Nothobranchius furzeri: one gene and its partners. The protein of the gene in region 1 binds, or shares a complex with, the protein of each later gene. Links are inferred from orthologs where the notes say so. Each region holds a gene or a part of one and is shown in the gene's direction. Other genes may lie near its edges.

Region 1 (6,112 bases):
GATGCAGTCCTGCATGCAAGGGACTAAAAATGTTGGTAACTATAACAGAAGCATGTTTTATAATAAAAAAAAAATGTTTTTTTTTTCTCTTAACTTTCTCCCCCTTTTGCCCCTTTCTTCCTTCATCCTTTAACACCCCACACCCTCCTCCTTCTCCTCCCTGTCCTCAGCAAAAGCAGCGCTGCCCGGTGCTGGAGGAGCAGCTGGTGGACCTGGTGGTGTACGCCATGGAGCGCTCTGAGACTGAGGAGCACTTTGACGCTGACATTGGAGGAACGAGCCAGCTGCTGTGGCAGCACCTCTCCTCCCAGCTCATCTTCTTTGTGCTGTTTCAGTTCGCCGGCTTCCCTCACATGGTGCTCTCCTTACATCAGAAGGTAGGAAAGCTGCAGCAGGAAGATTAAAAACAGTTTTCTACATGTTTTTGAGTTTTATTTTGATTGGGAGGCTCTGTTGCACAATTATAAACTGTAAGGAAATCCTTAAAGGGACATTATGGAAGTGTGACAGCCAAAACATGTATAGAAATAATAAATGTCTTCTTCATACATTCTCCTGCAATGCCCTGGTCCTGTAGAATGAGCCCTGGCATTTTTACTGTGATTGCCTGTTTTTCTGTAAAATCACAGAAAAAGAGAGATGCTCGGGTCGAGCAGGCTGCTTCATGCGCGTTCACGCTCAGGCATAGCTCGTAGCATTTGCTATCCGTAGCTTTAGCAACAGAGAGAGGGGCAGTGCCACTTTGTCGCTGTTCCTAACGCCTAGTGACAAAGCTAGCTACATTTCTGAGGACCCTTAGCTACTTTCTGTAGAACTTTCTTCTAGATATTTCCTGCAAATTAGCAACAAAATAGCCATTTTCGCTCCGAACCGTTCTTTGGTTTGACGTTGTTTCAGCTGTCATCAAGGATATAAATGTTACAGATACTGTGAATGTTACTAGAGTTTAGTTCACCTTGTAAGATGTCTGACTCTCATGCAGAAGACCTGGGTTTGATTCTGGGTGTGAACATAGTTTATTTAGAGTTTCTTTTTTACATTAATGGTATATTTTTTACAGTAAGATGCCCAAATTTTTATTTGAGACTCGCCGAACGGCATTGAATTCACAGATAAAAAAGATGTGGGTTCAACTTTCATTTTGGAACAATTTTTCAAGCAAGGGAAGGGAATGATCTGAGCATGCAGGAGGACTGACCCATCATAAACCTTTGTCGGCTGTGCTGAAGAGAAAGGTACAGAACCAAATTATTTAATTAATTAGCTGCGCGTTCTCCTGTCCTCTGTCCTCTGGGCCACACACACACACACACACACAGACACACACACACACACACAGACACACACACACACGCGCGCGCGCGTGCACGTGCTGTCTCAGCTGTTATTTTCGTTAAGGAGTGTGCACGTACACCATCGTGCATGAGCCTACCATTGAAGCTTCTGTTACGCTTTTGGCCTGAGGGGGCAATAGCGAGCATAAACATTCAAAAGTCCGTAAAGTCCCTTTAATAAAGCTGATATTCTTTTTCCTCAGCTTGCAGGCCGAGGCCTAATAAAAGGGAGGGACCACCTGATGTGGGTCCTGCTGCAGTTTATATCTGGCAGCATTCAGAAAAATGCACTGGCTGACTTCCTGCCGGTCATGAAGCTTTTTGATCTGCTGTACCCTGAAAAAGAGGTAACATGAAGACACGATCGCTGTTATTTGTACCAAAAAGACTTCAGTTTGCTCTTTGTCTGGCTGCTTTGAAATAAAAATATTAATTTAATATTAATTTAACCATTTTAACTAATAATTGTTGTATTTCTCATCATTACTTTAGTCAGTAATGCAGACGATACCTAAACTGTCTGTCCCTCTGCAGTGCATCCAGGTTCCTGACATTAACAAGCCCCAGTCCACCCACTCCTTTGCCATGACCTGCATCTGGATCCATCTGAACCGCAAAGCTCAGAATGACAACTCCAAATTGCAGATACCAATCCCACACTCTCTGAAACTCCACCACGAGTAAAAATCTGGAACATTGCCTTAAATGACTAAAATCACCCTTTTATCTAGTTAATTCTGTCTTTGGGTTTTAGGTTCCTCCAGCAGTCTCTTCGTAACAAAACCCTGGGCATGTCCGACTATAAAATCGCCCTGCTGTGTAACGCTTATAGCACAAACTCTGAGTGCTTCACCCTGCCTATGGGGGTCCTGGTGGAGACCATTTATGGAAACGGATCTGTAAGGATCAACCTGCCTGGAACCAGCTGCATGGCGTCGGGATCCATCACCCCGCTGCCCATGAATCTGTTGGATTCCATCACTGTGCATGCTAAGATGAGGTAGGACAAGAAACTTAAGTTACTTCAGCTGTTTTTGTTTAAAACTTTCACTTCCTGTTTGTCTTCAGTCTGATCCACAGCATCGCCACACGTGTGATCAAGCTGGCCCACACCAAGTCCAGCCTGGCCTTGGCCCCCGCACTGGTGGAGACATACAGCCGACTGCTGGTCTACATGGAGATCGAGTCACTGGGCATCAAAGGATTCATCAGTGGGTTTACTTAGGTTGATCCTTGTTGATAGAACACTTGAAGTGAGCTCTGAGATTTAGCTCATAACATATCTCGTCATCGACTTCCTCCGCTTATCCGGGTCCGGGTCGTGGGGGCAGCATCCCAACTAGGGAGCTCCAGACCGTCCTCTCCCCGGCCACCTCCACCAGCTCCTCCGGCAGGACCCCAAGGCGTTCCCGGACCAGATTGGAGATGTAACCTCTCCAACGTGTCCTGGGTCGACCCGGGGGCCTCCTGCTGGCAGGACATGCCCGAAACACCTCCCCAGGGAGGCGTCCAGGAGGCATCCTGACCAGATGCCCAAACCACCTCAACTGACTCCTTTCGATCCGGAGGAGCAGCGGTTCTACTCCGAGTCCCTCCCGAATGTCCGAGCTCCTCAACCTATCTCTAAGGCTGAGCCCGGCCACCCTACGGAGGAAACTCAATTCAGCCGCTTGTATCCGCGATCTCGTTCTTTCGGTCATTACCCAAAGCTCATGACCGTAGGTGAGGATTGGGACTTAGATCGACCGGTAAATCGAGAGCCTGGCTTTCTGGCTCAGCTCCCTCTTCCCCACGACAGATCGGCTCAGCGTCCGCATCACTGCAGACGCCGAACCAATTCGCCTGTCGATCTCCCGATCCCTCCTACCCTCACTCGTGAACAATACCCCGAGATACTTAAACTCCTCCCCTTGAGGTAGGACCCCTCCCCCGACCCGGAGTTGGCAGGCACATATCTCATTCATCATAAATAATCTGATTAACCACCTCTTCACTTCAGGCCAGCTGTTGCCCAACGTGTTTAAGTCTCACGCGTGGGGAATCCTGCACACGCTGCTGGAGATGTTCAGCTACAGGATGCACCACGTCCAGCCGCACTACAGAATCCAGCTGCTGAGTCATCTGCACAGCCTGTCCGCGGTACCGCAGACCAACCAGAACCAGCTGCACCTGTGGTAACTCTGCATCTCGAGACATCGCAAGCTGTTCCTATGACCTAGTTAACAGATTTCTCGTCTCCTTCTCAGCGTTGAGAGCACGGCTCTGAGGCTGATCACAGCTTTGGGGAGTTCAGAGGTACAACCTCAGTTCACCCGCTTCCTCAACGACCCGAAGACGGTTCTGTCAGCTGAATCGGAGGAGCTGAACCGAGCCTTGATCCTCACTCTGGCTCGAGCCACACATGTCACCGGTACCTCTTAGACAGGATTTGCATTTACTCACATTTGGTTTAATTTACTGCCTTTTTAAATAATAATAATAGAATCAGGTGTTTGAGTCTCTGTGCTGGTTTGTCTGTATGAGACTTTTTCACAGGGTCTGATTCCATCCATGGGACTTGGTGTAAGGACATCCTCCAGACCATCATGAACTTCACACCTCACAACTGGGCCTCACACACTCTGTCCTGCTTCCCTGCTCCGCTGCAGGTGCAGAAGGTTTCCCCCTCAACAAACAGGGCGGGACAAAAGTGAATAAATGAATTATTAAATTAAACAACTTGTTGGGTTAACTTCAGCACCTGTGTGTGTTTCAGGCGTTCTTTAAACAGAACAACGTTCCTCAGGAGTCTCGTTTCAACCTGAAGAAAAACGTGGAAGAAGAGTACAGGAAGTGGAAGTCGATGGCCAACGAGAACGACATCATCACCCACTTCTCCATGCAGGGCTCTCCTCCCCTCTTCCTGTGTCTGCTGTGGAAGATGCTGCTGGAGACCGACCACATCAACCAGATAGGCTTCAGGTCCGCTCTGATCTTTGCTGCTTTTAAATCCAAACTTGTCTAGGCTCACTTCGTCACTCTTTTTGGTTTTTTTTCTCCTCTTCATCAGGGTGTTGGAGCGAATTGGAGCTCGCGCTCTGGTGGCTCACGTCCGTACCTTCGCCGACTTCCTCGTTTATGAATTTTCAACGTCTGCAGGTGGACAGCAACTCAACAAGTGCATTGAAATCCTCAACGACATGGTCTGGAAGTACAACATAGTCACGCTGGACAGGCTCATTCTGTGTCTGGTGAGGACGCGCAGAGAAATCTACGCTCATTTGACGCTAAAGCTTGGTTTATGCTTGACGCATTTACTTTCCGCTTGGTGATGGAACGCGCTTCGCAACTCGCAGCGTTTATGGTTCACGCGGCTTGTCTCTGCGGTGAGCCAATATTCTCCCAAACTGTAGGGGGCAGCATGGAGCTCTACGGCATGCATCCAACACTACACCATAGTAGAAGTAAAAATTACTGTTGTTTACAACACGGCATTCCAGCATTTTTAACAGCGTCCTCGTCTTTTCCGACAGTGCGAGCTATTTCTCTCCAAGAATTATTAACAACATGTTGATCACGGTGATCTCTGAGAGCTGAATCATACAAATGTCTGTATTTACGAACCTCTGCCATACTAGTTCTTGCCAGTCCACCATGTTTTTCCGCATCCGACCGTCCGCGTGGTTAGAAAATTTCCTAGGTGCGCGGTGCGGAAATTTTTGGCCGTGTGGAGGGGCGTGGTTGTTAAAATGACGGAGCCGTGCAAACCTCGCGGACGCGTCAAGCATAAACCAAGCTTAACGCTCCAAACGCCACGCTCGGGCTTTACTCCTCTTCCTCTGCCATCCAGGCCATGAGGAGCCACGAGGGGAACGAGGCTCAGGTGTGCTACTTCATAATCCAGCTGCTGCTGCTGAAGCCCAATGACTTCAGGAACCGAGTGAATGATTTTGTGAAGGAGAACGCCCCCGAGCACTGGCTGCAGAGCGACTGGCACAACAAACACATGAGCTACCACAAGGTACAAATCACATGGTTTAGGTAAAATCTCACTTATAAAGGAGATCAGATAAAAAAAATCTTTACTCCTTTATCAGAAATACCCAGAAAAGTTGCACTTCGAGGGTCTTGCAGAACAAGTAAACCCTCCTATGCAGCTCCAGCCTCAGTACCTTCCAATCTACTTTGGCAATGTGTGCCTGCGCTTCCTGCCTGTCTTTGACATCGTCATCCACCGCTTCCTGGAGCTCCTTCCTGTCTCCAAGTCTCTGGAAACCCTGCTGGACCACCTGGGAGGACTGTACAAGTTTCATGGTGGGTGTAGACGAAGCATATAGAGAATGTGTGTATCTTTTATTATAAGTGTGGATGTGTGTATGCAGACCGGCCGGTGACCTACCTGTACAACACCCTACACTACTATGAACGACACCTGAGAGACAGAACCAACCTGAAGAGGAAGCTGGTCCATGCCATCATTTCTTCACTGAAGGTAGTCAGAGCACACACACACACACACACACACACACACACACACACACACACACACACACACACACACACACACACACACACACACACACACACACACACACACACACACACAAAATGGTGGATATAAGCATGAATACTCTAATTATAGGCCAATATCACTGCTTCCGCAGTTTTCAAAAATTCATGAAAAATTATTTGATGTTAGATTGGAAAAGTTTATTAATAGGCATAGTGCTTTGTAGGGATGTCTATTGTTAAAGTTATGGCGATACGATACGTGTCACGATACGGGGGAGACGATACGA
Region 2 (6,112 bases), about 650 kb from region 1:
CATCTTTTAAGGATTCAGTCACTGCTAACAGAGCAGTTTCAGTGGAGTGGCCCTTTTTGAACCCAGATTGGTAAGGGTCAAGCAGACAGTTTTGTGAGAGGTATTCTGTGATCTGCTTGAAAGCCACCCTTTCAATGATTTTGGACAGAAAAGGGAGGAGAGAGAGAGGTTGGTAGTTCTCCACATGATTTGGAGGAAGTGATGGTTTTTTTAGCAGCGGTTTAACCTGAGCATGCTTGAGAGAGGTGCAAATAATTGCCTCATCGACCACAACGCATGCCGGGATGCTGGTTAAAAAGAAATAAAAATAAAACTTTAATAACAAACAACCAAACAATTATTTGAATTAATTTATATTCATTGCTGCTCCGTCTAAAACATTCAGAGCATTAATTAGTCATCCTTGAATTAACTACTTTTGTTTGAAAGTACATCTTTTCAGAAAAGGCACTTGAGCCTTTTCTCCTGCAGCAATGCATTGTGGGTAATTCCAGTCACCCAAGTCCGCTATCTTCTTAAGGCCCTGTCCACACGTAGCCGGGGATCTGCCAAAACGTAGATATTTTTCTACGTTTTGGCCTGTCGTCCACACGAAAACGGAGTTTTTTCACACGAAAACGGATCTTTTTAAAAACTCCGGCCAAAGTGAAGATCTGCGTTTTCTCCGTTTTGGGTGTCTGCGTGTGGACAGACAAAACTGGAGTTTTAAGGTCCGCAACGTCACTTTCCGCGACAAAAAAATGCTGACATCACGTGTGCGACCTGTGTTTACACTAGCCGACAGCATGGAAGCCCTCAGAGCTGCGCTCGCTTTATCAATTGTCCAAGCGCTTTCTGCTTGTTTGTTTTTGCAAGTGGAATTACTGCTCCTTGTGGAAGACCACAGACGAAGGACGAGGTTAAGAACGGGGGAAGTACTGCCGCCTACAGGTCTGGCATGTCCTTATCAACGTATTTATCCGGGTACGTGTGGACAGAGTTTTTTTTAAAACGAGGTGGTGTGGATGCAAGTTTTTGGAGGGGCGGATATTCGTTTAAAAAAAACCCGACTACGTGTGGACTAGGCCTTAATCATCTCGCTGGATCAGATGCGTGGAATGCATTTCGCACCGGCTGCACATCTGAACCTTCCTTGCTGATTTATCAGCGTGAAAATATTCTAGGTGAGTGAGGAACTTGTAATTTTTGTTTATTCCAAACATACATTTTGAGCCCCCCCCCATTAATGCACATGCCCGAGGATGACCTAAGCGTCTTCCTCTGCAGCGTTGTTTATGTGATGCTTTCCAGCTCACCAAGACGCCCTCACGCTCTTTCACAGTGCCGTTACATTTCTGGTTGCTGGTACGCAACATTCCTCAGTTAATGCGTAGCACCACAGAGCTCCCAGAACCTCGTCAGAACCGTTTGGACACGTTGATTACAGCGGGGCACCGGATTGACGACAGCTCCTTGGGCAACGATGGTCCAAGTGTCCAAGAAGTCAAATGGGAATGCTGTCAGGCTGTTCTAGGGTCAGTCGAAGTCGAATGTTTTTATTTTTTGTTGTTTAGTTAAAAATAATTAATCTGCTGATCTCAAAGGGGAGGAGTTTAAGTATCTCGGGGTCTTGTTCACGAGTGAGGGTAGGAGGGATCGGGACATCGACAGGCGGATTGGTTCGGCGTCTGCAGTGATGCGGACGCTGAGCCGATCTGTCGTGGTGAAGAGGGAGCTGAGCCAGAAAGCCAGGCTCTCGATTTACCGGTCCATCTACGTCCCAATCCTCACCTATGGTCATGAGCTTTGGGTAATGACCGAAAGAACGAGATCGCGGATACAAGCGGCCGAAATGAGTTTCCTCCGTAGGGTGGCCGGGCTCAGCCTTAGAGATAGGGTGAGGAGCTCGGACATTCGGGAGGGACTCGGAGTAGATCCGCTGCTCCTCCGGATCGAGAGGAGCCAGTTGAGGTGGTTTGGGCATCTGGTCAGGATGCCTCCTGGACGCCTCCCTGGGGAGGTGTTTCAGGCATGTCCTTCCGGCAGGAGGCCCCCGGGTCGACCCAGGACACGGTGGAGAGGTTACATCTCCAATCTGCTCCGGGAACGCCTTGGGGTCCTGCCGGAGGAGCTGGTGGAGGTGGCCGGGGAGAGGACGGTCTGGAGCTCCCTAGTTGGGATGCTGCCCCCGCGACCCGGACCCGGATAAGCGGAGGAAGACGACGACGGTCTCATAAAGACCGGTTCTGTTCCGAGTTTCTTCCTCTTTTTTTTTCCTTCATCACACAGCTCAGCTTGTTGTCCGACACAAATAACGGTCCCTCTGGAACGCGTGGTCACTCAGCTGAGTGCTCAGCTTTAATTACAGCACCCATCTTTCTGGTTGTTTTCCGTTCGTGTCTCTCAGACTGACCGTAGACCGCTCGTCTCTCCCCAGATATTAGAATGTGAGTTCTACCTTCTGGAGCTGATGGTGAGTAGAAAAGCGTTTCCTCTGTCGCTGAGCCGACGCCATCACCTGGATGACTGTCGCCTTCTGTTTCAGGACTGCTGCCTGATCGTGTACCACCCCTACAGACCCCTCCTGCAGTACGTGCAGGACATGGGACAGGAAGACATGCTGCTGCCGCTGGCCTGGTACCACTCTGGGTTCTGCTTGTGTCAAACACGATTTGATGGAGTGTTTTAAAGCGTCTCGCTTTTCTTTCTCAGGCGGATAGTGAACGACACCTACAGGACGGATCTGTGTCTGCTCTACCCTCCCTTCATGATCGCCCTCGGTGAGAGTTTGCTTCTCTGACTCCCTTCCTTAGATTTGATCTGATCAGTTCTTCTTCTCCCCTGCAGCTTGTCTACACGTCGCCTGTGTGGTGCAGCAGAAAGATGCCAGGCAGTGGTTTGCAGAGCTCTCTGTGGACATGGACAAAGTAAGATGGATGTTTTTTTTAATGTTTTAACAACAGACGCCTTATTTTATCCACGTAGTTCTGCGTCTTTGGCTAATCTTTCTCAGGTTATATAGCCAAGTGGTATACTTCAGCGTTAAGCTATTTCAGTCTGATTTGTCCAGTCAGGGAGTGGGCAGGGTCTGGTGGGGATCAGCGTTTCTTGTTCTTTACTCAAATTTAATAAAATCCAACATTTAGACGCCCAAACAGACTGATGTGGGAACATTTTCACATTTAAATCCTACGTTCCACACAACAGGGTGGGTCCTTAAAAAGTCTCAAATGTGCTTTTCCAAATTTAAGGCCTTAAAAATGACAAATATTCCTTAAATGCAGTTTCCAAAGGTCTTTAATTACCAAAGATCCAATTAACAAGATTCTTTTATTTCTATCAAATTTGGTGAATTTCTACTTAGTGTTCGACGTTTTTTGTGTGCGATGTTGGCGTAAGCGGAACCGTACACATGCAGTTGGTTGTGAAGGGGGACTACTTTTAGATGAGCACGTTAGCTGGTTAAGCTAGTGGGAGCTTGCGCCATGGGGAAGTTTAATGGTTACTGGATGGCTAATCCCACGATCGCTACGTGGTTGGCACCGGTTCCAGGCGGTAGCTGGAAATTATAGCTTAAATTTAATTTTTTTAAATGAGCCGCACTTGTATAGCGCCTGTCAGAGTCAGGACTCCAAGGCGCTTTACACTACAGTGCATCATTCATCCATTCACACGCCCATGCTAGCGTGGGGACGAGCTACGATGTAGCCACAGCTGCAAGTGTTGCCCAAGGACACAACAGCAGAATTCTCTGTCCGGAGCCGGGATCGAACCCGCAACCTTCCGATTACTGGACAACCCGCTCAACCTGTCGAGCTGCTGCTGCCCCGCTTAAATAGCTTGAATTTGGCTCGCTTGAACCTGCAGATGCCCTGCACCAGGACGGGTCCGTGTGTGAACGAGTTCCTAAGTCGATGTTTTCTTTTAAGATCCTGGAAATTATCCGTGTCATGCTGAAGCTTTACGACCAGTGGAAGAATTTTGATGACAGGAAGGAGATCGCTGCTATCCTGAACAAGATGCCAAAACCCAAACCACCACCCAACAGGTAGGTCTGACCCGGTTCTGGTACCTTTCAGACTTTTAGTCCCTCTGTTGCACCGTGTGTGTGATGAACGGAGAACACGTTCTGCAGTAGGTTTATTTTTTTTACCTCTCAATCGGGCCTGGATTCACCAAAAGGTTTCTCATCCATTTAGTGATCTATGTCTGTCTAATTCACCGGCTCCTCCTGAAACTGTTCCAAACTGCATCAGAAAGAGAAAAAAACAGAATTGTTTCAATACAAGTTTAATTCTTTTGCTTTTCGTTTTTCTTCCTGCAGTGAAGGTGATCAGAGCTCCAACGGGAACCAAAGCAACTCCTACAGCCAGTCTTAGCAGAAACCTCTGTGTTCACGGGGGGGGGGGGGTCCATAATGTCATGAACTTTGGGACGAGTCGAGTTTGTCGGCGTCGCTCTAAAACCCGATCCAAGCCCTCACAAACTCCGAGCACCGAACCGACTCTCCTCCCACTCTTTTACCGTGGACCCTTGGATCGGAAACGCCCGGAGCGACGAGCCGACCGACCGTTCCCGCTGTCCTCTCCATCAGGCGGATGACTTTGACCGGATATGAATAAAAACTGGTGAAGGTGCGAGAGGGAAAACTGCCTGATCCTGAAGTCCTTGAACCATCCCTAGGAGCAAATTAGAACTCTGTGGGATTTGAGAAAACGTAATCATGAGTACTGTATGTTCACGTGTGTGTGTGTGTGTGTGTGTGTGTGTGTGTGTGTGTGTGTGTGTGTGTGTGTGTGTGTGTGTGTGTGTGTGTGTGTGTGTGTGTGTGTGTGTGTGTGTGTGTGTGTGTGTGTGTGTGTGTGTGTGTGTGTGTGTAGTCTGGGTGGGGTTTCGTTGCTCAGGGATCGCTGTAGTTTTCTCTCCATCAGTGAACGATTCTGTGCAGTTGAGTGGATCTGATTGGACGTGTGACTCTAAAGAGTTAGCATCTTGATAAAATCACTGTGCTGTGTTCATAAACCACAATTTACTGTTCCAATCATGACGATTCACTTATTCCCTTCCGTTCTCTCGTCTGTTGTGGATCGTATTTTCTGTATAATTTTTGCTTTATTAATGAAGTTGATACAAATGCCGAGTTAAACTTTGTGCTAAGCGCTTCTGCTTGTTTAGTTTTTGGGTGATTCTTTTAGTCTGGTGCAAAAATATAGAACATTTGTGAGCTAGTTTTCCTTTTGAAGCGTTTGGCTTCGGTTGTTTTCAAGTATCTGTTTTTGTCGTAAATATTTGCTGAAAGGGATTTATATTAAAAACTTTTTTTTTTTGCCGAAACAGTTCCTAGTTTCCTGAATGGCCTCTGTTTGAAGAAATAGCTTTAACATCTTACAGAGCTGATGAGCTTAAGTCTAAAGTTTGCTGCTAACTTCCTAAAATGTCTCCAATCTAACTTTTTTTAAACGTTTTACAGCAAATAAATAATTCCTGATGTGTGTGTGTGTGTGTGTGGCTGCAGCATTTGATGTTTATGCTTGTAAACAACCATGCATTTCCATATAAATCACAATGTCAAGTCGACAGCAGTGTAAGAGTTAATAAAGTTACTTTGCATGGACTGGATTATAGATTAGCAACAGCAAAGCACTTTAATCTCGCCCAGAGCTACTCGAGGAAAGGCCTCCAGGGCCGGTATTCTGCACATTTTAGTGGTTTCTCTGCTTCAACGCACGAGTCAGCGGTTGAATCATCTGTGCAGCAGCTCATCAGGCTCTGCAGAAGCCTGTTAATCTGCTGATTGAAGCAGAGTTGAAACCAAAACGTGCTGGCAGTGGCTACCAGCCCTCGAGGAGCAGAACCGAATAACCCTGGTCTAGCCTGTACTAAGTCTCGCTGTTAGCTTACACGCAACAGTACTGACTAGCTATTTCTCCTAGTAGAGGCCATTCAGGAAGCCGTCTGGTAGGTAATTCCACAAACTAAAACGTGTTTGTACTCATGCCTTTAGATGTGTGAGCGTGTGGCTCTTCACAAGATGCTTGACAGTCTTGGAATATAAAAGCTGCTGGTAGCAGTAAAATCTAACAACACACACCGTCACAGTCGGGAAAAGAGGTTCTAAAGTAGTGCCGACTGG
Region 3 (6,287 bases), on another chromosome or scaffold:
AGAATGTTTCCATGATTCTCTGCCTTCAAACAAACTACCTTCTCTTTCCCCTTTGGGTGTCAAAATGAATCACCGGTCTCCATTAATTCCCAGTTTGCCACTTACAGTCCCAGTTCACAGTGAACTCGGACAAAAAAGTGGAACCAGCTGACAGAAAGGTACGCTAATATATGAAAAAATAATTGCATACAAACATGTTTCCTGCAGCCCCAAAGCCCAAAGCACAGGTAGGTGTTGTGCGTTAAAAGTTAGCCTATCAGCAGAGGTGCCGCTTACCTTATCCGTTACGGGATTGTGCATCCATCAGTCCAGCTGCATAATGAAGGAGGAAACAACCTTTAAATATATTCACAATGTAAACGCGTTTTTAAATCGGTGTACTTCCCAAACAAATGAAAGTGACAAAGGACAACTTGTAAGTGTTTTTTTATCTTTTTTTATTTTGATGCTTTGCTGAAAACGATCGGATCAGGAGCTAATAAACATGATCGTAACACGATTTCTTAAATGGTGGCTTTACAAGTAAACGCACAACTTAGACAATCAAAAAATGGGTACAGACAGAAGCTTATAACCCCAACCCCCCCACACCATATGAAGCTTAAGCTAAAATTTAAGAGTAGCATACTGATACCATAAGAGTTATACACCAGAATTGAAATTCATGAGCATGTATTCAAATCCACATTCTTGCTTTAAAAATAAAATAACCGTTAACACTTTCTGCAATTTTTCATTGACATGATTCATAGTATTTAATCACATTTAAAGTAAACATACCTTGAACTTGAACATCCCTTCTGAAGTGAATCATGAGTGGACTTTTTAAAACAAACTCATCAGAATTTTTTTTTATCTAATCGATTGATTAATTGAAAGAAGATTTGATAGAATGGTCTAATACAACAATATTCCACAGCTGCAGCCCTGCTGTATGTAACTTCAACAACTTTCTCTTAAAATGTCTAATTTTAACTCTTTTGAATAAATAACATATTCTAAATAAAGATCGGAAGAACCAATAACCGAGAATGTAACTCAGCCGACCCACCTCCCAAGAAATTGACTTATTTTAATTGTTGAGTTCCGATTTTCATTGTTTATTGTTCAAGAGTCTACTCCACATATTGGCAGCATGGAATAAGTAGCTAGCTAACGTAAAAAATAAAGTGAAATAAGTATTTAAAAGTCATCCAGAGGCTAAATTACACTGTATGAATGTGTGAAGCAAAATTAAAACTCAGCTGAAAAAGGGTTTTGGATTTTCATGGCTGTATTTATAAGAAAATCCAGTGTTTTAAAAAGTGTTCGCCAAACAGAAGATGGCTTCTGTTCTGAGCCCGTACCAGCTGATGACAACACGCCAGAAACTCTGCTCAAACACTCCTGTAAACCGTGGCGGATCTCCGGTGTTTCTGTGTTAGCATTATAGCAGACAACAATGTGTCATTCAGATGTAGCGTCTAAAACTCTGCTAGCATCGCCTTCCAGCTCAGCTCTCGCTTCACCACGACAGACCGGTAAAGCGCCCGCATCACTGCAGACACAGCACCAATCCACCTATCAATCTCACCCTGCATTTTTCCCTCACTCATGAACAAGGCCCCGAGGTACTTGAACTCCTCCACTTGGGGCAGGACCTCATCCCTGACCCGGAGATGGCATCCTACCCTTTTCCAACTGAAGACCATGGTCTCGGATTTAGAGGAGTGGATACTCATCCCAGCCGCTTCACACTCTGTGAACCGTTCCAGCTAAACCTGGAGATCACTGTCTAACGGAGCCAACAGGACCACATCATCTGCAAAAAGCAGAGACCTGATCCTTTGGCCACCAAAATTGATCCCATCAATACCTCTGCTGCACCTAGAAATCCTGTCCATAAAGGTTATTAATGGAATCGATGAAAAGGGGAAGCTTGGCAGAGTCCAACTCTCACCAGAAATGAGCTTGACTTACTGCCGGCAATGCAAACCAAGCTTTGACACCGGTCATACATGGACCTATCAGCTCGTATCAAAGGGTCTGGTACCCCATACACCCGGAGGGTCAGGGTACCAGGCCACCTGGGGGACACAGTTAAACGCCTTCTCTAAATCTACAAAACACATGTAGATTGGTTGGGCAAACTCCCACGCACCCTCCAGGATCCCCCTAAGGTTTTAGAGCTGGTCCAGTGTTCCACAGCCAGGACGAGAACCACTTTGTAACTCCTGAATCCGAGGTTCGACAATCCGACGGACCCTCCTCTCCAGAACCCCTGAATGGACCTTACCAAAGAGGCTCAGAAGTGTGATCCCCCTGTAGTTGGAACACACTCTGCAGCTTTTAAAATAGGGGGACCCCCCCACCCCCACCCCACCCCACCCTCACCCCAGTCTGCCAATTCAGTGGAACTTCACCCATTGTCCACGCGATACTGCAGAGCAGCATCAACCAACAGCCCCACAACATCCAGAGCCTTAAGGAACTCTGAACAGATCCCATTCATCCTCTGGGCCTTGCCATTGAGAAGATTTTTGACCATCTCAGTGACCTCAGATGGGGAGTCCAACCCAAAGTCCCCATACTCTGCTTCCTCACTGGAAGACGTGCCGGTGGGATTGAGGAGGTCTTTGAAGTACTCCGCCCACTGATTCACAACATCCTGAGTTGAGGTCAGCAGCACACCGTCCCTACTATAAACCGTATTAGTAGCATACTGCTTTCCCCTCCTGAGACACCGGATGGTGGACCGGAATCTCCTCAAAGCCATGTGGAAGTCTTGCTCCATGGTCTCACCAAACTCCTCCCATTCCCACGTTTTTGTCTTCGGGACCACCCGAGGATGTGATCTGCTGACCTCAGTGAGCACTTTGGAATATGGGGGTGATCAGCTCAGAGAGATTAACAGGTGCTAAGTAATTTAAAGCCTTGTGCAAAAAGGTCAGAATATTAAATTGTACCCGGAACGCTACCGGAAGCCAATGGAGATGTTCCAAGACTGGAGTAATATGGCTACGTCTGTTTGGTTTCGTGAGGAATCTAGCAGCAGCATTCTGGACTATCTGTAGACGATTTAGAGCTGAGCTAGGAGCTCCAATAAGGAAGGCATTCGCGTAGTCAAGACGAGAGGTTATAGAAGCTTGTAAACCCGATTCCAAATGCCGTTGCTTTAAAATTGGTCTAAGACGACGTAGCTGATGAAAGCAAGACCTTACAGCTGAATTTATCTGAGGAACCATCGATAGGTCATCATCTAATTTTACTTCAAGACTTGTCAGACACAGTTTGGGGTTAAAAATTAGGTCGAAGTCAGACTGAGAGCCAGAGTGATTTCTAGGGTTGAACCCGATGGACTCTGATTTAAACTTGTTTAGTTTGTGGTAATTGGCAGCTAGCCAACCCTTTACGTCCTTCAGGCATGCAGTGATACAAGAGTCCGCATTGCTCTTATCTAGTGCGATAATTAATAATTATTATTGTAAACATAATGATGGTGTATTTATGTACATGCCAGTGTACCCGTGTTTTTGTTTTGCCCACGTTTTAAAATGTGACTTTACCTTTCCAAGGGAACAACACAATAAGAACATGGTTGCAAAGCAGATTGTAGTTGTTTAATATTTTAATTAATTACATTGTTTTGTGATGTCATTTGAGTCCATATGTCTAACTCCACCCCCTCCACCTTGCCTCAGGTATCCTCACTGCCTCCACATGCTAGAGCTGCTGCAGTATGAACATTTCAGGAAGGAGCTGGTTAACGCTCAGTGTGCCAAGTTCATCGATGAGCAGCAGCTTCTGCACTGGCAGCATTACTCCCGTAAACGGACGCGGCTGCAGCAGGCGCTCGCCGAGCAGCAACAGCCTCCTCAACAACCGCCTCTACACGGGAACACCACTGCCAAGTGATGAAGAGATCCTGCTTCCTGCTGTAAATAAACTCTTCCACTGAGGTGTTTCTCCTCAGGAGTTACATTCAGGACTAAAGCAAAAATCCAAACGTATCAAAAATTTAGATGGTCCACGTTTGTTCTGACTAATTCACAGAAGCAGTATATATTTATTTCTGTCTGGTGACATTACAGCTCTTGTTTTTAAATAAATCATTTAAAATAAGTTTGTTTTATATTTTTAAAGTAAATAAATACTTCACTGGAAATATCAGCTGCAGTTATTGATTCCAGTAAGGTGGAATTGGCCTCACTGCAAAAGAAGTTAACAGCTGGATGTACAGAATAATCTGATAAGACAAGCTACCTACCCCAGTGTGTGTGTGTGTGTGTGTGTGTGTGTGTGTGTGTGTGTGTGTGTGTGTGTGTGTGTGTGTGTGTGTATGTATATATTTATATAATACACTGAACAAAAATATGAATGCATCTCTTTTGTTTTTGCTCCCATTTTTAATGATCTGAACTCAAGCATCTGAAAATGTGTCTACATACACCAAACACCCATGACTCTCAGATGTTGTTCTGAAATGTGTACATGTGTGTTAGTGAGCACTTCTCCCTTACCAAGATCATCCATCCCACCTCACAGGTGTGGCATATCAAGGGGCTGATGACAGCATGAATAATGTACAGGTGTGCCTTAGACTGCCCACAATAAAAGGACACCCTGACATGTGCACAGCTATTCGTTATGGGGGTGGTAAGGCAGAAAACCAGTCAGTATCTGGTGTGGCCACCATTTGCCTCACGCAGAACAACACATCTGTCACATAGAGTTGATTGTGAGGGTCGCCTCGTATAAGTATCTAAGTATGTGGATGGATGAACGGTTGACATGGAGGGTTCATGTGATAAATCTAGTGAACAAGTGCACTAAGGTGCTGCATGTCATGCGGTGTTTGGCTGGGCCGGACTGGGGAGCCGATAGGTCCATGCTGCTGATGGTTTACAGGGGTGTGGTGTGCTCAATCCTGGATTATGGATGCTTTGTGTATGGCTCTGCAGCCCCCTCGACCTTGCGGAGGCTGGATATGGTGCAGGCAGCAGCAGTTAGTAGCGGGGCCTTTTGTACAACCTCTGTGCCGGCACTTCAGGTGGAGGTGGGAGAGATGCCCCTGGAGTATCGTCGGGTCAAGCTGGGGCTACAATACCTTATAAGGGTGCTGCGTATGGGGGATGAGGCTGTGGCGCTGGGTTTGCTGGAGGAGCAGTGGGAGTTAGGTGGCGGGAAAGGGCAGGGAGGCTTTTTGGAAAGGCTCAGGGGACGTGGGTAGATTGGATCTCCTGGGCTGGCCAGTGGTTTCACATTTGGTCAGGTTGGATGTTCCGCACTGGCAGCCACCCAACCCAGGGGTGGATATGAGACTCTCAGGGCAGGGCAGGGGGAGAGGTCAGGCGGAGGAGGTAGTGGAGTACTTGAAGACTGGATGGTCCTTGTGTGTGCCGTTATACACGGATGGCTCAAGGCACCCTGAGAGTGGCAGGGCTACGGTGGGATTTGTGATTCCTAGCTTGGGGCACGTGTTTGGTAGCTGGCTACATGACCACGGTTCAGTCACAGCGGAAGTGGTGGCTATACTGTGCGCCTTAAGGTGGGTAGGGGAACATGGGCCAATGATGGCGGTCGTGTGCTCCGACTCGGCGGCAGCGTTGAGAGCGCTGGCAGGTATGAGATTGGGCTCTAGGCCAAATCTGCTAGTCTCCATACGCCGGTTGCTCTGTGAACTGCAGAAACAGGGCAGTGTTGTGGGGTTCATTTGGGTTCTGGGACATTGTGGACAGGGATGTGGCCTGTTCCTGGTGGGCAAACACCCAGATGGGAGATGTGTTTGTGGGAAACCGGAAACGGTCTCCTATGTATTGCTGAGCTGCTGCAGGTACGAGGATGAGTGGCGAGTCCTGTTTGGGATGTTGGGGCAGTGTGGGATGGAAGTGTTCAGTGTCCAGACGTTGTTGGAGGCTCGGGATAAACAACGTATGAAGCTGTTGACTTGCGCACAGTGGGAGCGTATGACAGGATATAGCAGGTAGGCGTAGCTGTAGCGTGTGACGTTGCGAAGGCAGCAATATGCCTATAAGGCATCTAAGCTGCTGGATTCCCACAAAGAAGAAGAAGAAGGTTAATTGTGGCTTGTGGAACGTTGGCCCACTCCTCTTCAATAGCTGTGTGAAGTTGCTGAATATTGGCAGGAACTGGAACACGCTGTCGTATGTGCTGATCCAGAGCATCCCAAACATGCTCAATGGGTGACATGTCTGGTGATGATGCTGGCCATGCAAGAGCTGGGATGTTTTCAGCTTCCAGGAATCATGTCCAGATCCTTGTAATGTGGAGCCATGCGTTATCATGCT
Region 4 (5,292 bases), on another chromosome or scaffold:
CGAGATAATATAGTTTTTTTAAAAACAAGGCGGTTATTATTATTGTCAACTTTTTTCCCCAGAGTTCACTGCTACACCGGTTACCATGACAACCCTACTTCTATGTAAAGTATTTTAATATAAGTTTCAGTGGGTGCGCTGGCAGAAAGTCTTACCCTCCAGTCAGAACCTAAAACAACACCAGTAGGCAGAAATGATCAAAAATACCCGTTATTAGCACAACTGAATAATAAAACACCACGGGCGAGTTCCGCTGTGGAACTCGTCGGCTACTGCCTCTTGTCCCTTTAAGACAAAACCAGCTGTTCAGCATAAGTAAAATCAAACAATCAGGTACTTAGCTGGCCCAGTCGATGCGACCCCCTCCCCGGGGTCTGAGCTTCCAACACCGTCCAACGCCCCGGGGTTCAGCTTGCGTGGACGGCAGGTGAGTCCATGGCTCGGGTCCGGCTGCCAGAGTTTGCTGTGGCAGATGTCGGCGTGGTCTCGGCACCCAAATACTCCCAGCCCTCGCTACCTAAAGAAGGCGTCAAGCCTCCCGTCCTAGCACTGGAACACTGCCCACCTACTCAGCTGTCTTCATCGCCGGCAGTCCTAACCAACTGCGAACGATCCCACCCCCCAGAACCGGGTGTCACAATGACAGGTCGACCATACACACACACACCTTGGTAGATCTGCCACCCTTTTATCATCTCCGGCCTCATCACACCTGACAAGCACCAGCCGGCGTCTAGTTGCCACGCCCCCAGAATCTGGCAAATCCCATCTTCTGCCTTTCACAGTATGTTCAGGTACCCTCAGGAGACACTTTTTACTTCTCCGTGCAGATTTGATGTTATATTCCTCATAATGAGATGATGTTTGATTTCTGTATTGGTTTTATTTGACGTTGTTGTATTTTTGGCATTTTTTTTCTGCTGCCTTTTCATTTTTGAGTGTTTACATTTCAACTACTACCTATTATTGTTATTGTTGGAATCACTTTTCCTGGAAGATCTGAGGTACACTGGTGTCTATAATGATGCAGCAAAGTCTGCTGATTAGACATGCCATGGCTGTTAACTGGTTATCCTTTGAATATGAATTTGGATGTAACATTTGCAATCTGTTTTTCCCATCTAGATCATTGATCTGCTGGTGCAGAGGGACACGGAGTTCCAGGAGCTGATGGAGGTGGCCCAGCAGCAGGGGAAGGTTCACCAGGAGATGCAGCTGCTGGAGAAGGAGGTGGAGAAAAGAGACAGCGACATCCAGCAGCTCCAGAAGCAGCTGAAGGAGGCCGAACACATACTAGTAGGTTTGTTGTAGGAATTGCAATGCGGTGATATGATTTAGCACCATCTGTATGAGCTGCATTCCATTCCTGCAGCTGTGTGCTGCTGCTTGTTTGTAAACTGCTTAAAGACTGAACTTTTACAATAGCTGATGGGAATTTACAAACCAAACAAAAGCATGAAGCTGTCATGGAGAAGGGTGGAGCAGCTGCTGCTTCAGAGTGGGTTTGTGTGAAGTCTCCACCAACGCTGCTGGTTTTGGTCAACATGAATAATTAGTAGAAACTCACAAACACATCATTCTTTAAATCTGAGTGTTTTCTTTCCTCAAATGATTTTTGGTTCCCTTGTTCTTTTATTTAAGGCCACCGCTGTTTACCAGGCAAAAGAGAAACTTAAGTCTATAGAAAAAGCCCGGAAAGGTGAGGAACACACACACACACACACACACACGGAACACACTCACATGGAACACACACACAGAACACGCACGCACGCACACACACACACGGAACACACAAACGTGCACGCAGGCACACACACACGTAACACGCATGCACACACACACGGAACACACACACGCACGCACACACACACACATGGAACGCACACACACACACACACACACATGGAACGCACGCACACACACACACACACACACACACGGAACACACAAACGTGCACGCAGGCACACACACACACACACGTAACACGCATGCACACACACGCACACACACATGGAACACACACATGCACGCACACACACACACACACACACACACACACACACACATGGAACGCACGCACACACACACACACACACACACACATGGAACGCATGCACACACACACACACACACGGAACACACAAACGTGCACGCAGGCACACACACACGTAACACGCATGCACACACACGCACACACACATGGAACACACACACACACACACACACACGGAACACACAAACGTGCACGCAGGCACACACACACACACGTAACACGCATGCACACACACGCACACACACATGGAACACACACACGCACGCACACACACACACATGGAACGCACGCACACACACACACACACACATGGAACGCACGCACACACACACACACACACACACACACACACACACACACACACACACGGAACACACAAACGTGCACGCAGGCACACACACACGTAACACGCAGGCACACACACGCACACACACATGGAACACACACACGCACGCACACACACACACACACACGAAACACACACGTACACACACACGTAACACACACGCGCGCACACACACGTACACACACACATGGAACACACACACACACACACTAATGAAGTCTGTCTTGTTCTTGTTTTTCTTTCATTTGTCTTGATTTTGAGTTTTTAATTGCAGGAAGCATTTCATCAGAGGAAATCATCAAATACGCTCACCGAATCAGTGCCAGCAACGCCGTGTGTGCTCCACTCAACTGGGTGCCAGGTAGGAGCTGGAGGCCCCTGCAGTTCCCACTGGCTGTCAGTAGAGGGCAGGTTTGACTTCATTAACACACCATCCAAACGTTGGTGACAGGAGATCCACGCAGACCTTATCCCACCGACCTGGAAATGCGCAGCGGGATGCTGGGTCACATGGCAAACCTGCCATCCAACGGTGTGAACGGACACCTGCCAGGTGATGCTCTGGCTGCAGGACGGTTACCAGGTAAGTTAAAAAGAGCAGAATTAAAACACTTGAGTGCCGCGTAAGTTCAGGTCTTTATGAAGACTGGTTTTGTTTTATACTGACACTTCAGAATGTGTCTTGTTCCATACCATCTTTATTTATATAGCATGTATAAAAGTAGCATGGCAGAAGACCAAAGATGCTTACACGGAACAAATCCAGCACTTTTAATGAGATGAAGCATCAAAAACATTTCAAAATTTAGCATAAAAAGAGAAAAATAACATTGAGACTAAATAACAAAAGATGGAAAATGTACAAACACTAAAACAATCAGCTGAAAAATAGATGAAATAGAAGCCAAGATAAGCTGTATAAACTGTCTTTTATAACAACTAAAACATTGGAGTGACTTAACTGTAGAGTTGGGCATCGAGCATCGATGGGAACCGGGACCAGGAGTGAGTTTTTCCCGGAAACGCTCAAAGTTTCTTTGGTGTGTTGTTACTGTGTCTAGTTTCTAATAACATTTTGGTTCTTTTTAAAACACAGAAACCTTTCCTGTGTTTTAAAAAGAACCAAAAACGCTCAGTTTTTTATTTCAATTCCTAGATCCTGACCGGAAGAGGAATTCGCAGCTGACCTCCGTGAAAAACAAACGTGATCTGCAAATTCTGATCGGCACTTTTCAGAGCTGAACACACCAGCTGTCTGTCGCCTGCAGAGCTTTCTCTCTGGTGGACCACACCGGGTTATGCCCACTGTAGCCCACAGGGATAATAATATAAAAATAAAAAATGTCACAACACACAGTTGTGACATTTTTTATTTCCTTTTTGAACTATTTAATCTGGTGTGAGTTTTAATGTTTAAATCTGTTAGATTGTTACTGACAGCAGCTACATTCAAGCTTCACTTTTTGTTCTGACTGAATGCTGCTGCAGCACGGAGGTGTCGACTCAGTCATCCTGGACATGATCATCCTGATGGTTTCAGTTATAAACAGCTGGACTTTTCTGGTTATGTTGGAGACATTTAGCCTCTCATCCCAGAAGCTTCTTCAGTTCCCACACTTTGGTTGTGGTCAGAAACAAACACACTTATAACATGTTTTTGTCTAAATGAAAGTGACCGTTACAGAAAGCAATCAAAAAAGAACAAGAAAAACCCATAAGAGTCATGTAGGATCTGAGCTGAGTTAGCCTAATCCAGACGGGAGGAGATGAGTGTAGAAGGATGGATTTTAACACTGTAATGCAGCAAAAATGGGGGGAAAAACAAGAACTCACAGTTGCAATGGTTTGTGTTTATCAGGGAAAGATGAATAAAATGCTCTTTAAATACACGTTTCACTGAATTTTGGGGAAACTTCCTTTAGATTCTTAATAAATTCCAACCAGCAGCTGAAGCACTTTTCCTTTGATCAAACATCAATAGGGCAGATCCATATAACCTATAAAGTATTATTTTCCTAATATCCAGAGGTGGATCTGTGTTAGCTGTGTAAAGTTTCACCACATCGATGCATAAACAAGACCTGGAAAGATGCATTTCAAATATATGAAACCACGGGACAACCGTCTCACCATTAGTCTTGGGCCCGACCGATATATCGACCTGCTGATATTATCGGCCGATATTGGGGTCATTAACAGTATCGGCTATCGGCTAAAAAGTCGGCTGATATGGCTGATATTGCGCTACCTACCCAGCAGATGGCGCCAGCTTTATGAATAAGTTTTGTGAATACTTCACCAAGTTAACTTCCACAGAGTGTTACTTTGTTACGAAGCACAAGTATTACGTTTTATTTATTGCTGCATTTTTATTATTTTAATATTCTTATAGGGATCTTCTGTCCCTAAACTTGTGTGTTGTTAGATTCCCCAGAGTTAACCAAGTCAGAAAAAACATGTTGTAACCAGTTGTTTTAGCATAAAGCAATGGAAGGGAAGGCTTGCATTCACCTACATAAAAACACTACAATGTGTGTGAATTCACTTACATTGTTTTATGCTAAACACGCAGACACACGGAACAGATCATATTGGGCTGTTATAAAATGCTTTTTCTGACTTGTCTAACTCTGGGGAATCTTAACAAGACACAACTTTACTGAGTGATGGAATGTTCCTTTAAGTTAAAATGTATTAGTGGAAACCACAGTTTACAAGAAAAACTTGAATGTTAGATTTATGCTGTGACTGAGTTTGTGTGTTCTGTTGTTTTTGAGATCTGCTAAATAAATCTTATTTGCATTACTTGGAACCCCTAGTGAGTTATGGAGACAGTTCTTTGGTGTGTAATAGAGAAATAAGTTTGCATCAAAAAGACAGAGAATGAAG

The links. The genes of interacting proteins can lie anywhere in the genome.
Region 2: med23 (region 1) and ccnc share a complex: the UniProt entries of both Homo sapiens proteins name them as parts of the mediator complex. The link is inferred for Nothobranchius furzeri from reciprocal best matches to the Homo sapiens genes MED23 and CCNC.
Region 3: med23 (region 1) and med31 share a complex: the UniProt entries of both Homo sapiens proteins name them as parts of the mediator complex. The link is inferred for Nothobranchius furzeri from reciprocal best matches to the Homo sapiens genes MED23 and MED31.
Region 4: med23 (region 1) and med4 share a complex: the UniProt entries of both Homo sapiens proteins name them as parts of the mediator complex. The link is inferred for Nothobranchius furzeri from reciprocal best matches to the Homo sapiens genes MED23 and MED4.

Annotation. Positions count from the first base shown.
Region 1 is NC_091742.1:26,134,524-26,140,635, forward strand, and holds part of med23 (mediator of RNA polymerase II transcription subunit 23), read left to right. Parts: intron 1-170; coding exon 171-377; intron 378-1,537; coding exon 1,538-1,681; intron 1,682-1,868; coding exon 1,869-2,014; intron 2,015-2,088; coding exon 2,089-2,334; intron 2,335-2,402; coding exon 2,403-2,545; intron 2,546-3,333; coding exon 3,334-3,508; intron 3,509-3,580; coding exon 3,581-3,744; intron 3,745-3,857; coding exon 3,858-3,982; intron 3,983-4,089; coding exon 4,090-4,295; intron 4,296-4,383; coding exon 4,384-4,564; intron 4,565-5,163; coding exon 5,164-5,334; intron 5,335-5,410; coding exon 5,411-5,627; intron 5,628-5,695; coding exon 5,696-5,805; intron 5,806-6,112. UniProt on the Homo sapiens protein: Required for transcriptional activation subsequent to the assembly of the pre-initiation complex. Component of the Mediator complex, a coactivator involved in the regulated transcription of nearly all RNA polymerase II-dependent genes.
Region 2 is NC_091742.1:26,785,091-26,791,202, forward strand, and holds the end of ccnc (cyclin-C), read left to right. Parts: intron 1-2,386; coding exon 2,387-2,452; intron 2,453-2,524; coding exon 2,525-2,616; intron 2,617-2,691; coding exon 2,692-2,759; intron 2,760-2,826; coding exon 2,827-2,906; intron 2,907-3,908; coding exon 3,909-4,027; intron 4,028-4,303; coding exon 4,304-4,358; 3' UTR 4,359-4,504; downstream 4,505-6,112. UniProt on the Homo sapiens protein: Component of the Mediator complex, a coactivator involved in regulated gene transcription of nearly all RNA polymerase II-dependent genes.
Region 3 is NC_091750.1:26,551,105-26,557,391, reverse strand, and holds the end of med31 (mediator of RNA polymerase II transcription subunit 31), read left to right. Parts: intron 1-3,680; coding exon 3,681-3,894; 3' UTR 3,895-4,101; downstream 4,102-6,287. UniProt on the Homo sapiens protein: Component of the Mediator complex, a coactivator involved in the regulated transcription of nearly all RNA polymerase II-dependent genes.
Region 4 is NC_091754.1:35,369,435-35,374,726, forward strand, and holds part of med4 (mediator of RNA polymerase II transcription subunit 4), read left to right. Parts: intron 1-1,125; coding exon 1,126-1,296; intron 1,297-1,641; coding exon 1,642-1,699; intron 1,700-2,677; coding exon 2,678-2,764; intron 2,765-2,854; coding exon 2,855-2,986; intron 2,987-5,292. UniProt on the Homo sapiens protein: Component of the Mediator complex, a coactivator involved in the regulated transcription of nearly all RNA polymerase II-dependent genes.